3 linked regions of the Macaca fascicularis genome follow. The protein of the gene in region 1 binds, or shares a complex with, the protein of each later gene. Links are inferred from orthologs where the notes say so. Each region holds a gene or a part of one and is shown in the gene's direction. Other genes may lie near its edges.

The links. The genes of interacting proteins can lie anywhere in the genome.
Region 2: the proteins of PPP2R5C (region 1) and PPME1 are in contact, whole or in part, in a cryo-EM structure (PDB 7SOY), measured with the Homo sapiens proteins. The link is inferred for Macaca fascicularis from reciprocal best matches to the Homo sapiens genes PPP2R5C and PPME1. Residues at the interface, in NP_002710.2 of Homo sapiens: Asp180, His187, Arg188, Tyr190, Gly191, Leu194, Arg197, Ser230, Ile231, Gly234, Phe235, Ala236, Lys240, His243, Asp313, Gln341, Tyr348, Glu353, Tyr354, Glu399; in NP_057231.1 of Homo sapiens: Arg37, Lys38, Arg39, Asn192, Lys217, Val251, Glu252, Gly253, Ile254, Ile255, Glu256, Glu257, Pro345, Gln346.
Region 3: the proteins of PPP2R5C (region 1) and CRYBG1 are in contact, whole or in part, in a crystal structure (PDB 6VRO), measured with the Homo sapiens proteins. The link is inferred for Macaca fascicularis from reciprocal best matches to the Homo sapiens genes PPP2R5C and CRYBG1. Residues at the interface, in NP_002710.2 of Homo sapiens: Lys183, Thr184, His187, Tyr190, Gly191, Leu194, Arg197, Ala198, Arg201, Glu226, Ile227, Ser230, Ile231, Asn233, Gly234, Phe235, Ala236, Lys240, Glu242, His243, Pro265, Gln266, Tyr269; in NP_001358171.1 of Homo sapiens: Pro1136, Phe1138, Ala1139, Met1140, Pro1141, Pro1142, Ile1143, His1144, Glu1145, Asp1146, His1147, Glu1149.

What each region holds. Positions count from the first base shown.
Region 1 is NC_088381.1:169,857,506-169,862,649, forward strand, and holds the start of PPP2R5C (serine/threonine-protein phosphatase 2A 56 kDa regulatory subunit gamma isoform), read left to right. Parts: upstream 1-2,098; 5' UTR 2,099-2,268; coding exon 2,269-2,295; intron 2,296-3,290; coding exon 3,291-3,356; intron 3,357-5,144.
Region 2 is NC_088388.1:73,043,056-73,047,887, forward strand, and holds the start of PPME1 (protein phosphatase methylesterase 1), read left to right. Parts: upstream 1-1,563; 5' UTR 1,564-1,732; coding exon 1,733-1,833; intron 1,834-4,832. Other genes in the region: C2CD3 (C2 domain-containing protein 3), read right to left, coding at 1,050-1,104. UniProt on the Homo sapiens protein: Demethylates proteins that have been reversibly carboxymethylated. Demethylates PPP2CB (in vitro) and PPP2CA. Binding to PPP2CA displaces the manganese ion and inactivates the enzyme.
Region 3 is NC_088378.1:68,855,219-68,860,168, reverse strand, and holds the start of CRYBG1 (beta/gamma crystallin domain-containing protein 1), read left to right. Parts: upstream 1-1,681; 5' UTR 1,682-1,872; coding exon 1,873-2,045; intron 2,046-4,950. UniProt on the Homo sapiens protein: May function as suppressor of malignant melanoma. It may exert its effects through interactions with the cytoskeleton.

The sequences.
Region 1 (5,144 bases):
ATAAACCAATAGTTTCAGAGCTACTCCTTTTTTGATATGGATATATCTTGGGCTTATTAAATTGAAAGCATATATTTTATTTTTAAAATGTTATTAAGTTAACTAGGGGCATCGCTCCATCCTCAAAATTGTTTTGGAGACACCATTAACCCACCTAAATTATTAATAAAAAAAGCCATTTATTCCACACAAATAGCTGTTTGAGGCTGTCCTGCTTACCTACAGATACTCGTCTAAGAGCCCATAGACATTCAGACACCGGCAAACACAACTTACTTTCTGGACCTCCCACAACATTCCTCACTTTAGATCTTTTTTTTCTTATCCCCTGTCTTTCAGCTTTCCCATTGCAGAACTACTGAGAATAATCGAAAATGCTCTGCCTGGCAACTTCCAAGAACAAAACCCCAGGGACTAAGAGAACGCGATGATTTTTAAGCTGCCAGTTAAGATGTAGCTCCTTCATCATCACAGGTGAAGCACCAATGCCTCTCGCACGTGAAATCCGTACACTCCTAGAGTCTTACTACATAATGCATTTCCGCAATCCGGGACGCCTGTCATTAGCGTCTCCAATAGTTCTGGGAACGAGGTGGACTGCGGAAGTACTGTATTAAAAAGTTAACGTTTTTCCCTGGGACACCCCCTCCTCACAGCTATTAACGAGGGGAGAGAAATCAGGTGACTCCCAGTCATCATGCAGAGGTTTCCTTACCATTTACGATCCAGTCAAATTAAAGAATAAAAATAAAATCCTACTGGCGCAACGGCCACCAAGTCTTCGAGGCCTGGCCTCGGTGGGCGGGGCCGAGGCCGGAGGAGAGGGGCTGCACGAGTGGGCGTGACCTCGCGGAAGGAGCTGCGGAGGGCGGGGCCAACGGGGAGCGGCGGGGCTGTCGGGTGGGTGGGACCTCGCCGGAAGAGCTGCGGAGGGCGGGACCAACCAGGAAAGGGCGGGGCTGTCGGGTAGGCGGGACCTTACGAGAGAAACTGCGGAGGGCGGGACCAACTAGGGAGGGACGGGCCTGTCGGATGGGCGGGACCTCGAGGGAGGATCTACGGACGGTGGAGCTGGTGAGGGGAGGGGCTATTCAAGAGGAGGAGCCGGTCGAGGGGAGGGGCTGGTCGAGGGGAGGGGTTGGTCGAGGGGAGGGGTTGGTCGAGGGGAGGGGTTGGTCGAGGGGAGGAGCCGGTCGAGAGGAGGGGCCGGTCGAGGGGAGGGGCCGGTCGGGGGGAGGGGCCGGTCGAGGGGAAGGGCTGGTCGAGGGGAGGGGAGGGGTTGGGGGCTGGTTGAGGGGAGGGGAGGGCAGGGAACGGGAGGGGAGAGGTTGGGGGCTGGTTGAGGGGAGGAGAGAGGAGGGGAGGGGAGGGGAGAGGTTGGGGACTGGTTGAGGGGAGGAGAGGGAGGGAGGGGAGGAGAGGGAGGGAGGGGAGGAGAGGGAGGGAGGGGAGGAGAGGGAGGGAGGGGAGGGGAGGCGGGGCCTAGCGGGGTCCCGCGAAACAGCCGCTCTCTCGGTTCCCGGGCCTCTCTGTGCGCCTCAGTGCAAAGCGTGCGGGGCACTCTTGACTGCAGCGAGACCTGCGGCGGTGAGGGGGCGAGGCCAGGAGGCCGCGGTTCACGCCTCGCCGGCTGCAGAAGTTGTTGCCATACATTTCAAATGTGCATTTCCTACGTCTCACGCTCTGTCTTGCGCCTCCACAGCGGGCCACGGCCCTATCACCGCAATCGCAGCCACACGCTCCCTCCCCTGACTTGGCTCGGCTCTGCTCTGCGGCCAGGCCCGTGCCCTGAGGCCGCGGCCTGCCTTAGGCCGGCTCGCGGCGACTCGCGACGGAGAGCGCGGGTGTGAACGGGTCGCGCGGAGAGGGTGGGGGGAGCGGGGAGCGTTAGGGCACGTGGGGGCGCGTCGACCAATGGCAGGGCGCTGTTGAGGGCAGCGGGGCGGGCCCGGGCGCGGGGGCGGGGCGAGAGGCGAGCGGGCGGGGCGGCCGGCCGGGGGTGGGGAGGGGCGGGGCGGGCCGGCCGGGGGAGGGGCGGAGAGACGCCGCCGCCGCTGCCGCCGCCGCCGCCGCCGCCGCCGCGGCTGCCGCAGCCTTTGGGAGCCTGGAAAAGGGGAAGCGAGAGCGAGCGAACGACTCAGTCCCCGGGCGGCGGCGGCGGCGGCGGCGGCGGCGGCCGCGGGGGCGCGACGGCCGGGGTGGGGGCGCTGCTGCTGCGGGGGCAGGCGGCGGCAGGGGCGGCGGCGGCGGAGGTGGCCCGCTCCAGCCATGCCGAATAAAAACAAGAAGGAGAAAGTGAGTCCGGGCCCGGCCGCGGGACGGAGGTAGCGGGGAGGGACTGCCGCGGGAGGGCGCGACGGCACCGGGGTCCTGCGCCCGGGCCCCGGCTCAGCCTCCCCGCCCGACACCGCGGGCTCCCCGTCCCCGAGGGCGGCCGGGCCAGGCATCCCCTGGCTTCTCTCGCCCTCAAGCCTGGTGGGGGCGGGGAGCCCGGGGATCGCGCCGGAACCGCGGGGCCCAGGCCCGGGCCGCGGGGACCTTCGTGACGGGCCGGGGTTGAGCGTGGAGGGAGGGCGCGGCCCGGGGAGAGGGTCGGAGGGGCGCCGGCCCCCGACAGCGCGCCGTGGGCCTGGGCGGGCAGGTGCGGCCGCCGAGGGGTTTCGCAGCCTCGCAGTCTCCCGGAAAGGAGCTTCAGGGATGGGGGCTGTAGACTCCTGGGGAGGGACCCCTGGACGGGGGAAAGGGAGCGGGAAGGGACCCCGCTGAAAGCTGGTAAGGAATTCTGTGCCGCCCCAGAGGGACGCTGTGAGGCTCTCAAACACTATTATTATCCTGGGTGGCGGCGGCGGTGAGGGCTGCGAGCAAGGGTGCTGCGTTTGCATTCGAGGGGGGCGGGTATGTTTCTGCTTCAGGTGGAGCTCTGTAGCGTTTCATTATCACCCCAGAAATCCTCACTCATAGGGTTTAGGGTGGGAAGGAAGAAAGGGATGTGATATGGATCTCAAAATGCCAGAAGCACTGTGTAAAATTGGATATATCTGTTTTCTGCTTGAAGTTTTCAACCTCAAATGCAGATAAAACGAAAGGAATCTGAATGGGGGGTGGGGGGCATTGCACTGTTGGAATCCTAAACAATGTGATTTAGAATTTCCTAATGGGATGAAATAAAAATATCAGAAGCTCTAGTTAAGTTGTATAAATAAATCACTTTTAAAACTGCATTTGGCTTATCTGATATTTACCTGTCTAAAAAGTGAGAAGACTAATTGCCTTTGCTTGATGTTTACCAGGAATCACCAAAAGCAGGAAAGAGTGGAAAAAGTTCAAAAGAAGGACAAGACACAGTAGAATCAGAGGTAACTGTCATCAAATATTGACTTTGTATTTCATACACAGCTTTTAACTTAAGGTAGAAAAACTGAGAGTGATAAAGCCTAGAATCTTCTAAAATGCTTCTCTCTGTGAGGTTTTTTTTTTTTTTTGTGGTGTCTTTCATAACCCTCAATTTTAGTTGTTTAGGTATTTACTGTTTTGCTTTGGAAAACTATTAATGATTTTATGAAAATTGTGCTTGCCTATGGAGTTGGTTTGTGGGTCTTTTGGGGGTATTTTGTTTGTTTGTTTTTGAGACTGGGTCTCACTTTGTCACCCAGGCTGGAGTGCAGTGGCTCAATCTCTGCTCACTGCTACCCCTCACCTCCCAGGCTCAAGTGATCCTCTTACCTCAGCCTCCCAAGTAGCTGGGACCACAGGCACATGCCACCACATGCAGCTAATTTTTTTTTTTTAATGGAGTCTCACTCTGCCACCCAGGCTGGAGTGCAGTGGCTCGATCTCAGCTCACTGCAACTTCTGCCTCCTGAGTTCAAGCGATTCTCCTGCCTCAGCCTCCTGAGTAGCTGGGATTACAGGTGCCCACCACCATGCCCGGCTAATTTTTGTATTTTTATTAGAGATGGGGTTTCACCATGTTGGTCAGGCTGGTCTTGAACTCCTGACCTCGTGACCTGCCCACCTCAGCCTCCCAAAGTGCTGGAATTATAGGCCTGAGCCACTGTGCCCAGCCTGGAACTGGTATTTTTAAGTTCATTTCCCACACCTCAAACCCAGCAGCCCTCCTGTATAGGTTGGTGTTATGGGGTCTATGGTGGGTGTTGCTATGTTGCTTTTAGCTTTAGGGTCATCCCCCGCCACCGCCACTTCTTTGCAAGCTGCCAGGCGACTCAGTGGTTGGTTCTTTTTCTTCCATCACCTTTGTTTTCCTTCATACTATCTCTGCTACTGACGTCCTGGGCTAGCTCCCTATTTCTGTTGATGATTCCTTGGCCTCTTTCCCCCGTAATGTTGGTATTTGAAAAATTTACCTGATTTTGATATGTTATTGTTGTTCACATTCTGTATGTGTGTGTGTGCGCGCCTGCGTGCGTGCACGCGCGTGCATTGGCCACTTGTGAATTTCTTTGCCTCTTGGCTTTGGCCTCATTGAGGAACAGCTGGAATGCCAAGTGAGGACTGCATCTACTTGAACAAGGTTGATACTGTTCCTTCACACCGTGAAGTGCCTTCAGAGGATTTGCAGAGTCACCACTTTCCTTTGCCTTTTCTTCCTTGTGATTTATTGTTGAACTGGAGCACCTGGGGCCAAGGGTTCAGGAGCTGCGTGGACCCAGGCAGAGCTGATGGGTCCTTTTGAATCCATGGGTAGCAGATAATTGGCTTAATAGAGTGTCATTTCTCCAGAGCTGGATCATTGAGGTCCCAGTCTTATCACAAACGACATTTATTTGCCAGTGTCAGACTTCCTCCTGTAAGCCAAATTAGAATGAGTTCAGTTCTGTCTGGGAAGCACAGTGAACTGGCGATGATCTGCAGTGGACTTTTTTTTAGCTCTGCGTTCTCTCTTTTCTATCACTTGGTGTATTCTGAACCTCCCTCCTCTTCAGCAGGTGGTTTATTCCAGCAAATCTGTTGCCCTCCCCAAAGCAAAAAGCAGAAATCCAAAAGGTTCCTTAAATGTCAATAGTTAGGATCATTTGTGCCAGTCTGTCCCTCCCTGTCTTTATAGCAGACAACTGAGGTTTACTATGCCATGCTTGGATTTCACTTGCTTATTTCTTCCCTGTCACCCTTTTGACTAAATTCGT
Region 2 (4,832 bases), on another chromosome or scaffold:
CTACTTTGACTTTCCGCTTATCAACCAAACATGCTTAACTGGTTTGACACAGGGAGCACTAGTATGCTTCAGTCTCAGATCCTCCTATCTTTCGTGGCAGGAAAGTCACTACCTCAAAACTGCCTTAGTAATCTTTAAACAGCTTGGATAAGAGTAATTCCCAGATTGTAGCTTCAGTCCTCAACCTAATGGCCTAATGTCCTATCACTGCTCCAAACCAATACTTCTTTTCTCACTAAACTGCCTACGATGCAAAAAGGCAGGTTCACCCACTGTCCTTTTTCCCTTCGAGGCAGTCTTGTAGAGATTCAATATCCAGTTTCCTGATCTGCCCTCGGTCCCCAGTTTGACTGTTCTCACTGCAGCTAACATCCCCTACTCGGTGAGCCTGTGTCTCCTCGAGGTGTTAACCTGATAAGGACTCTCTGCTGTACACTCTTTCACGATCTCAGGTCCTTCAGGAGAACCTCATGCCCTTACCCCCACTTCAATCCTATCACACTTGTCATTCCCCACTCTTCCCCGCTCTATACTCTACAATTATTTTTTCCCCAACTCCTGCTCATAGCCAGTCCTTCATGCTTCATTCATTCAACAAACATTTACCGAGTCCTGCTTTGTACTAATCCTTGGTCATTCAGTAATGTATAAAACGTGATTCTTGTCCACAATCACACAAGAAATGATATCATCCCTTTGCCAATTTATGTTTCTTCCTGTCCCTGCGGACCTCTAAAGCTACTCGCACACATACATTTCACTTCGTTATCAAAACCAATCCTATTATTGTTTGCTCTTCTCCTCTACAGTCATCCCACCGGTAACCTTCATCTCATTAATCACCACTTTGTGGCCCCTACCCCAGCCCCTAATTCCTTTCTATTCTCTGGAGGGCCAATTGCCCTTCCTTTTAACCTTCTGGTCCCCTGGCTATTTCCCTTCTTACGTCCCTTTTCTTGTTTATCCAGCGGGGGTGGGGGTCTCCCTAAAATTCCTTACACCCTGCTCCCCTGTTAACGCTTTCCTCAATCTTTGATCGCTCGGGTTACCTCTTTTTTTGCGCCCACGGCTGCCCCCAGGCCCTTGGCCTTTACGTTGCTTCATGATGAGCCCGAGCTCTTCTTCATCAGCACAACTCTGTCTCCACCACCTAAGCAGCCGCCTCCCGCCATCCCTCCCCACGGCGCCTGCGTTCCCCGGCAACCGGCGCCGCTGGGCAGCCTGGGAGGCAGGAAAAAGCCACTCTTCCTCTAACAGTCTCCGGAAAACAGTGGGAAGAGAAGGCGCCAAGACGCCTTCCCGCCAATAGACTACAATACCCAGGATGCTTTGCTACAATACCTCTGCGGGGTTGGCTGGGGGCGCCTCCGGCTGCGCAAGCGCATACGGATACGCCCGTTGAGGACTCCATTGCCCAGGGTGCATTGCCCTGAAGACGGCTCCTCTTTCCGGTGAAAGTTGTCGGGTTTCCAGTTGGGAGTCTGCGGAGTTCGCAGACTCTGTTACCCAGCTTCCTTTGTGTGAGGGCTGTTGCGCACTTCCGGTGGAAGTGCTGAAGCGAGTGGGTGGAGTTTGCAGAGCCGGTGGGCGGTAGGCGGTGCTACCGGTAGCTGGGTGCTGTCCAAAGGCGACTGGGCGTCGTTAGGGGAGCGAGTCGTGACCGGTTGGGCCACACTCAACGTGGGACGAAGGTTCGCCTACTGTTTGACTACGTGCGTGCAGCCTTTCCTTGATGTCGGCCCTCGAAAAGAGCATGCACCTCGGCCGCCTTCCCTCTCGCCCACCTCTACCCGGCAGTGGGGGCAGTCAGAGCGGAGCCAAGATGCGAATGGGGTACGTGACCCATACTCCTACCTAGGGGCCAGGCCCCGGCCATTGGAGAATGGTGGCTCTGAGCGTTCAGAGAGGCACGGGGAAGGAGTCTACCGATAGGAGAAAATGTTGGCGGCGGCCTGGAGATATTTAGATGGAGTAGAAGGCAGATTGGGGAACTAGGGGAGGCGCCAAGTCAATAGAAACTGGAGGAAAAATAATGTTGTTGGAGGGAGAGGGGAATGAGGCAAAGGTTGGGGAAGCTGAGAGACTAACATAACTGAGAATCACCTCCAGAATGAAGGAGGTTTAGAAAAAGGTGACAAAGGTGGAGGAAAATCGGCCAGGGAAGGTGGAGGGAAATGGGGAATGACCGAGAGAAAAGTTGAGGGGAATTGAGGCAACAACTAAGAAAAGGTTTGGGAGGAGTGGATATTGTAAAAGTTCTAATATGTATACTGTGAGAACTAGATAGTAGAAAAGCTTAGGGAGTTGGACAGGGTTGGAGAACGAAAGAGGAGCACTAGGAAGCAGACGATTCTAGATAATTCCCAGAGGTCTAAAGACAGTCAGGGAATGAGAGGTGAGATTAGGCCTCTTAAGGGAGAATGAGAAAGTTTGGGGAGTAGGCCTAAGGTAAGGTGGAGAATATAGCCATGAAGATTGTTAAGGGTAATAGGAATGTGCTGAGAAGCTGGACAGGATAAGGGAGAGAGAAGAAGGAGAGGACTGAAGAATTTGCAAAGTGACCATAGGCTCTAAAGATTGAGAAATAACTATAAATGCGGTTTGGTGAATGGAAGTGCTGCAGTTGTAAGGTCTGGGAAGCTTAGAGGAAGATTTGGGCAATCAGTTTTTGCGGGGCTAATAGATCTGAGGGAAGCAATGTACTGGCCTAAGACTTTGAATTAGTGAAGCATTGGGAGTTAGGGAAACAGTTTGCTGGAAAGAGAGGAGAGCCATGTTGAAGAGATAGGCTTTGGAATTTTAGATCATTAAATGGCTTGTGCCAGGTTAGGGGATACTTGGGCCGAGGACAAAGAATGAGGTGAACATGGGATAATTGCTGGAAAGTGGAGACAATTGAATAGGCATTTGGTTTTGAGGGGATATTTGTAGTTTCAGACAGGATTCTGGGAATTAGTGACTGTAAAGAGAAAAGGAGTAGGAAGGATACTTAGGTATGAGGACTCAAGAGTATATTTGGGATTCTAGAGATGAATTGATAAATATTCTTTGAAAAAGGACTACAGAAGAGAAACCTTAGGTTCTGAAGAAGTAATGTGTGTAAAAACTTACCAAAAGAAGCGAGAATAGGAGATGCAGTACTGTGACAGTAAGTCCTAGGGATGAAAAGAAAGGAGAATCCTATAAAACAGTGGGGTAAAGGAATGGGAAGAACAAGTGGAAAAACCAGGGAAGGAAACTAAGAATTGAAGTGGAGACCTGCTGTGATATACAGTAGAAAAAGGAGAAAACCTTAGCAGGGGGAGATAGAGAGATGGACGCACAATAGAGGAGGTAGAAGGCTACATAGAAGGTAAAGTGAAGATTATTTTGACTTTGGAAGATCGAAAAGTTGGACTATAACATGAATAAAGAGAATTTGGAAACTGACCCATAACATTATTTGGGAAAATTAACCTGGAGTTTAATATTAATGTAACATTAATTGTTATATATCTTCATTGCTGCCTTTCTTAAACTACAATTTGATCTTTCAGTATACCAGCACTCTTCTATACAAATACATAAGAAAATCAGATTTTTAATAATTATACATTCTTTAGATAAGTTTAATTAGGGCTCAGCTTCTCATTTTGTCAAAACAAGTTCTCTGAAGATTGAAGAACTGGGTGAAAATACTGAGAGAAAATAAAAGGAAAATCTGCTGATTAGAAGATTGTATAATTGTTAGTAATTCATCGTTTTTATTTTGTATTACTTTTCATTTTATTTTTTTTAGAGACAGGGTCTCGCTGTGTTGCCCAGGCTGGAGTGCAGTGGCACAATCTTGGCTCACTGCAACTTCTACCTCCTGGGTTCAAGTGATTCATGTGCCTCAGCCTCCCAAGTAGCTGGGATTACCGGCGTGCACCACCATGCCCGGCTAATTTTTGTATTTTTAGTAGAGATGGGATTTCACCATGTTGGCCAGGCTGGTCTTGAACTCCTGGCCTCAAGTGATTTGCCCCACTTGGCTTCCCAAAGTACTGGGATTATAGGATTGAGCTACCATGCCTGGACAACTTACCTTTTTAAATAGATGCTTTGGTCTTCTTGGTTTAGGGTAACTGCTTATCCTGGAAAAGAAAGTTCTTTAGAAAGGCCTTTCTGTATGGTAGTATTGTGAAGAAAATTCACAAAAATATGGTAGTATTGGTGAATATTTGTGTGGTCCTCAAATGGCTTATTTTCCCGTATTTTTCTTTTCTACTTTATTGGTACATAAGCAGGCTTCATCTAAGTCTCATGGTAGTAATAATGCAGATTCTCTTTCTCCTTAGAATCATAAAGCTGAAAGAGAGCATAGACATGGATCATTTCACCACTTCATCATGTAGTTGAGGAACTGAATATTCAGAGAGTTCTGTATTCTGTAAGGGAATGTATTAATAAATGAGGGAACTGAGACTCAAATATTCCTAAAGCACCCTAGAAGCTTAGCGGTGGGGCTGTTAAGGACTAGGACTTGGGTCTCTTGACTGTGAGACCCATTGTGTATTTTGAAGTCATAATTGTCATCTGGGAATACTTAATTTGAGTTGTGTATCTTACTCCTTTGCATATAATATAGGATTCAGTCTTTTTCTTCAGTCAGTTGTAATTTATGAAGTCTCACACCAATTTCAAAGCATTCTTTATGTCTCCTTATACTTGCTTTTTTCTTAACTTCTATTCTTCCACTCTATCTGTTACTCACAAGTTAGTCCTGTTCCCTTGATAGTCTCTTGTGTGGCTTACTCTTTCAACTATTTTTCATGAACATTTCACTAAACATTATTTAGGCATGTTTGCAT
Region 3 (4,950 bases), on another chromosome or scaffold:
CAATGTAAGCAACAATATAGATGATTTTTACCGACTGATATTGAGCAAAGCAAACCAGAAACAGAGTACATATTGTGATTTTCCACTAAAATGAAGTTCCAGAAAAGATCAAATTAATCTCCAGCAAAAGAGGACGAAATAGTTTTTAACTTTTACAGGTGGGAGGGGTAATGTACTAGAAGAGGACAGTAGGGAGATTTCTAAAGTTTTGAAAGTATTCTATGTTTTTATAATCATATATATTTACTTATTATTATTATTATTATTAGAGAAATAATCTCATTCTGTTGCCCAGGCTGGAGTGCAGTGGCACCATCTCGACTCACTCCAACCTCTGCCTCCTGGGTTCAAGCGATTTTCGTATCTCAGCCTCCCAAGTACCTGGGATTACAGGCTTGCCTCTGCCACCACGCCCAGCTAATTTCTTTTTGTATTTTTAGTAGAGAAGGGGTTTCACCATGTTGGCCAGGTTGATCTCGAACTCCTGACCTCAAGTGATCTGCCTGCCTCAGCTTCCCAAAGTGCTGGGATTACAGGCATGAGCCACCGCTCCCGGCCTATAATCATATATTTAAAAGCCACATACAGAATAATTTTCTAGGACAATGTGAACTCTCCTTTAAAAAACTTTTTATACCCCAACCACATAAATATGTAAAAATTTGAGTTTTACCCTTATGATTTGTTCACTTTACTGTCTATAAATTACATCTTGATAAGAATGTAAATAAAAACTAATAAAAATGAATGTTCTGTGAATGAGAGAATAAACGAATGAATGAGTTGTGTTTTTCAAGAGGAAAATAAAGACTTATTACCATGAAAGAGGATCTTGTACTGTATTGAATTTTTAAGTAGTACTTAGTTCTTGCACTTTTTTTGCTCTAATGATACCCAAAATGATTGTTCGTTTACTTACTTTGCTTAAGTATTAATTTCCTTTGCTATTTAGCCACGACTGTGAAGTTAAGACAAGAAAGTCATCAACAGTAATGCAGATGATGTAAATACCTTGTGGGACTGGCATTTAATTTACTGCGAGGGATCTATTAAGCCCTTTGGGAATTAGGGAATATGCCTAATTCCCTTCTGGCGTTTTTAATTTTTTAAATCCTTTTGTGTTTTATGAGATGTGAGTACAAATTAATTATTCAGGCTCTTGAGAGAGGAGAGGAGTTGGCAGAGTTGCCACCCGGTTCACGAACAGGAACAGAAGCCACCAGCACATGACATTGCCCAAGTCACCCAGAGATCAGAGTGGAAGAGTCCTAATTACTGGGCGGCCCGCCCCCGGGATGTGCCTCTCCCATCCCTCTCCAGGCGGGGCTCGTGGCTAAGCAGCGACTCATCCTACCAGCCTGTCAGAGGCCAAGAGCAGCCAACAACTCCGCAGGCGACAATGGCCGCTGCACCCCAGGCGCTGTCAAAGCCGGACCGGCTCTGGGTCCCAGCTTAGAGCCTGGGATGCAGTGTCGGGAGACGCGGTGCCCAGAGCATCCAGTAGGTGTCGCTGTCCCGCGGCCGCCGCGCGCCCCGGGGGTGGGGAGCCGGGGCGTGTCTGCCTCACCTGGGGCTCCCGGCTCGCGCGCCTCACCTGGACTCGCGCCCCTTGCCGCCCGCGCAGCGAGGGGGCGCTCTCCCGCGGCTGGGTCCCCTCCTCCGCCCCAAGAGCTCGGGCTGCAGTGCTGCTCGCGCTGCGCGTGGTGCTAGTTCTGCAACCCGCTGCCGTCCCCCGCATCCGCGACGAGGGGGCGGGGTCCCACGGCGCGCTGGGAAAGTCTGGGGCGCTGGCGCCCAGGTGTGTTCTTCCACAGGGCCCGGGCGGCAGAGAGGATCGCGTCCCGGCAGTCGCAGCGGGAGGAGGACAAGACGATGCCGCTGTCCCCGCCAGCCCAGGGCGACCCCGGGGAGCCCAGCCAGTGCAGGCCCCCTAAGAAGCATACCACCTTCCACCTCTGGCGCTCCAAAAAGAAGCAGCAGCCGGCGCCGCCTGACTGTGGGGTGTTCGTTCCGCACCCGCTCCCGGCGCCTGCCGGGGAGGCCAGGTGAGCTCCTCGCCCGAGCCCGCCAGTCCCAGCTCCTTCTCCTCCTCCCGCTGCTCTGGCCCTTCGGCTCCTGACCCCACTTGGAGGAGGGGAAAGCCCCGGGGTCTGTTTCACTCTGCAGGTTTACCTGGGTCCGGAGGGGAGCGATCGTAGCCGCTGGTGGTGACCAAGTTCCTCGTGGCTTTTGGCTCAGACCAAGCACCGGCGAGAGGAACTTGTGCCCACCCATGTGGCCTTTAGTATGACTGCAAAGTCTTCATGCAGGAGCCTCCTGCATCAGCCTGCTAACCAGAGCGGCGGGGAGTGAGGGTTGTTACCGTCGGAAGTGATAGTGGGAACTCTTCTTTGGGGTTAGGCACTACTTTTGAGCTAGTGCCTTTATCGTAAAGCTCTTTATTGTGAATATCTGTCAGATCTGTGCTCTTACAGATGTTTTACCCCCATTCTCCTCGCAAGATGCGAAGGGAGGAGGAAGTGGCAGGAATGGTTACCCCCATTTCATGGGTGAAGGGACTGAGAGCAAAGGATAAATGGCTTCTCCCCATTGGAGCCAGTGGCAGAGCTAGGGAGCGTCTAGTTATCCAAACTGTAGTTACCGTTGTACTTTTTAATTTTTATCATGGTTTTGAAGTGGTTTTATTTTATATGTATAATTATTCAACTGCACCATCAGAGTTTATGCATTCGTTGAATAATAACCAATTTGAAGTAACAGCGTGTTTACATGGCTCAGAGGTGTGAAATATTTATAGTGATGGACAGTTGACAATGTCCAGTAAATCCTTCTACATGTGTTTTTAAAATACGCCTTATGAACAATGAGGGCCAGAATAAAATTGTACAGGATTTGCATTTTAAACATATTTTTCCTTTTATATCTTTTCTTTTCTTTTTTTTTTTTTTCTTTGAGACGGAGTCTTGCTCTGTCGCCCAGGCTGGAGTGCAGTCGCACCATCTTGGCTCACTGCAAGCTCCGCCTCCCGGATTCATGCCATTCTCCTGCCTCAGCCTCCCCAGTAACTGGGACTACAGGCGCCCGCCACCACGCCCGGCTAATTTGTTGTATTTTTAGTAGAAACGTGATTTCACCGTGTTAGCCAGGATGGTCTCGATCTCCTGACTTTGTGATCCGCCCGCCTCGGCCTCCCAAAGTGTTGGGATTACAGGCGTGAGCCACCGGGCCCGGCCCCTCCTTTTATTTCTTAAAAAAAAAAAGTCAAATTTACAATCTATTTTCATTCACTTACTGTATTGAGTACCTTAGCTAAGTGCCATGTGCTGCGATATAAAAAACAATGAGAGACAGTAATAATTCTGTCATCAAAGAATTCTTAGTCTCTTGTGGATACCAAAAAGTGCAATGATAGATGCCAGCACAGAGGAGGGGATCTCGGAGGCTTCCTGGAGGAGGATAGGTGAAGTGGCTTAGGCAGAAACAGGGAGGAGCAGCGAGTTCCAGGCAGGGGCGGAACTGTGCACATCACCAGCACTTAGAAGAGTGTGGCACTTCCTGAGAAGCGCAAGTGGTTGAAGCGGGAGGTCTAGGTGTGAGGGGGTAAGGGTAGGAGAGCTAAGAGAGAAGTCATTTTATTTTCCTCTCATATTTTATCATCCACATTGGTAATCTGTTGTAGTAGAAATATATTACTTATGCAAACATTTACTGTGCCTATTTACAGATTATACTTTCTAACAAAATACACTACTTAATAATAATGTACACAGCATTGAAGTTATTTTCTATTACCTCAGTAAATATTTTAAACATTTCCATCGTGGTTTTCCTTTTAAGATCTAGTCTCATGATTTACTGCTTATCAAAACATAATAATATACAGCTATAGGTAATGTATTCAAATGTAAATACATTTTAGTCTAAAATTTAAAATAGGAGATTTACTTCTCTCCTTGAGTTTTTGTATTTTAGTGCAGTCTTGAAACACCTCATTTTTGCCTTCAGAACCCTGATGAACTTTGTATTAATAAATGTGGTCTGTCTTTGGGATGTTTTTCTAGTTAGATCATCTTTATAAATATTTCATTTACTTCTAAGAGAGTGTACTTCTTTCTGGCTTAAAGATAGTGGCAAAAGCACCCTTAGATTTCTAGCCAGTCTTTGCCCAGTGTGTCTCTCTGGAGCCTCCTGACTATATCGGTTCATTTCTGTCCAGTACTTGGAAGTGATGGAATTTGGCTGGAATGTGCAGCACTCACTGTGGTTTTTGTCTCTAAATAAGGAGGGGACAGTCAGGCAACCACCCCTATTTGCTTATTTGATTAATATTATGGGTGTTTAGGTCAGATAGAAATGAATTTATCTAATTATTGAATTAATAACTCAAGTTATTTCACCTCTTAAACTCTCACTTTCCTCATCTGTAATATGGAGACAATAGGATGCTGACTCTGTAGGGTTGTCATGAATATTAAATGAAAGTTTATGTTATTAAGTGCAAAAACTTTAACACGTTTCTGAGCATAAAGTAGAAACTCAGTAAATGCAAAAGCATCCTCGTCGTCATCATCATCATCATCATCATCATTATCATCATCATCAAAGCAAAGGTCTAATGGAAGAAATGGAAAAAATAGGTTTGGATAGGGGAAAATCCAACTCTAGGAAGAGCTTCTTTTCCTCGAAAAGGTTACCAGTCCAGCTGGGCGTGGTGGCTCATGCCTCTAATCCCAATACTTTGGGAGGCCAAGGCAGTCGGATCACCTGAGGTCAGGAGTTTAAGACCAGCTTGGCCAACATAGTGAAACCTCGTCTTTACTAAGAATACAAAAAAATTAGCCGGGCATGGTGGCTCACGCCTGTAATCCCAGGTACTCAGAGGCTGAGGCAAGAGAATCCCTTGAACCCAGGAGATGAAGGTTGTGGTGAGCCGAGATCACGCCATTGTAC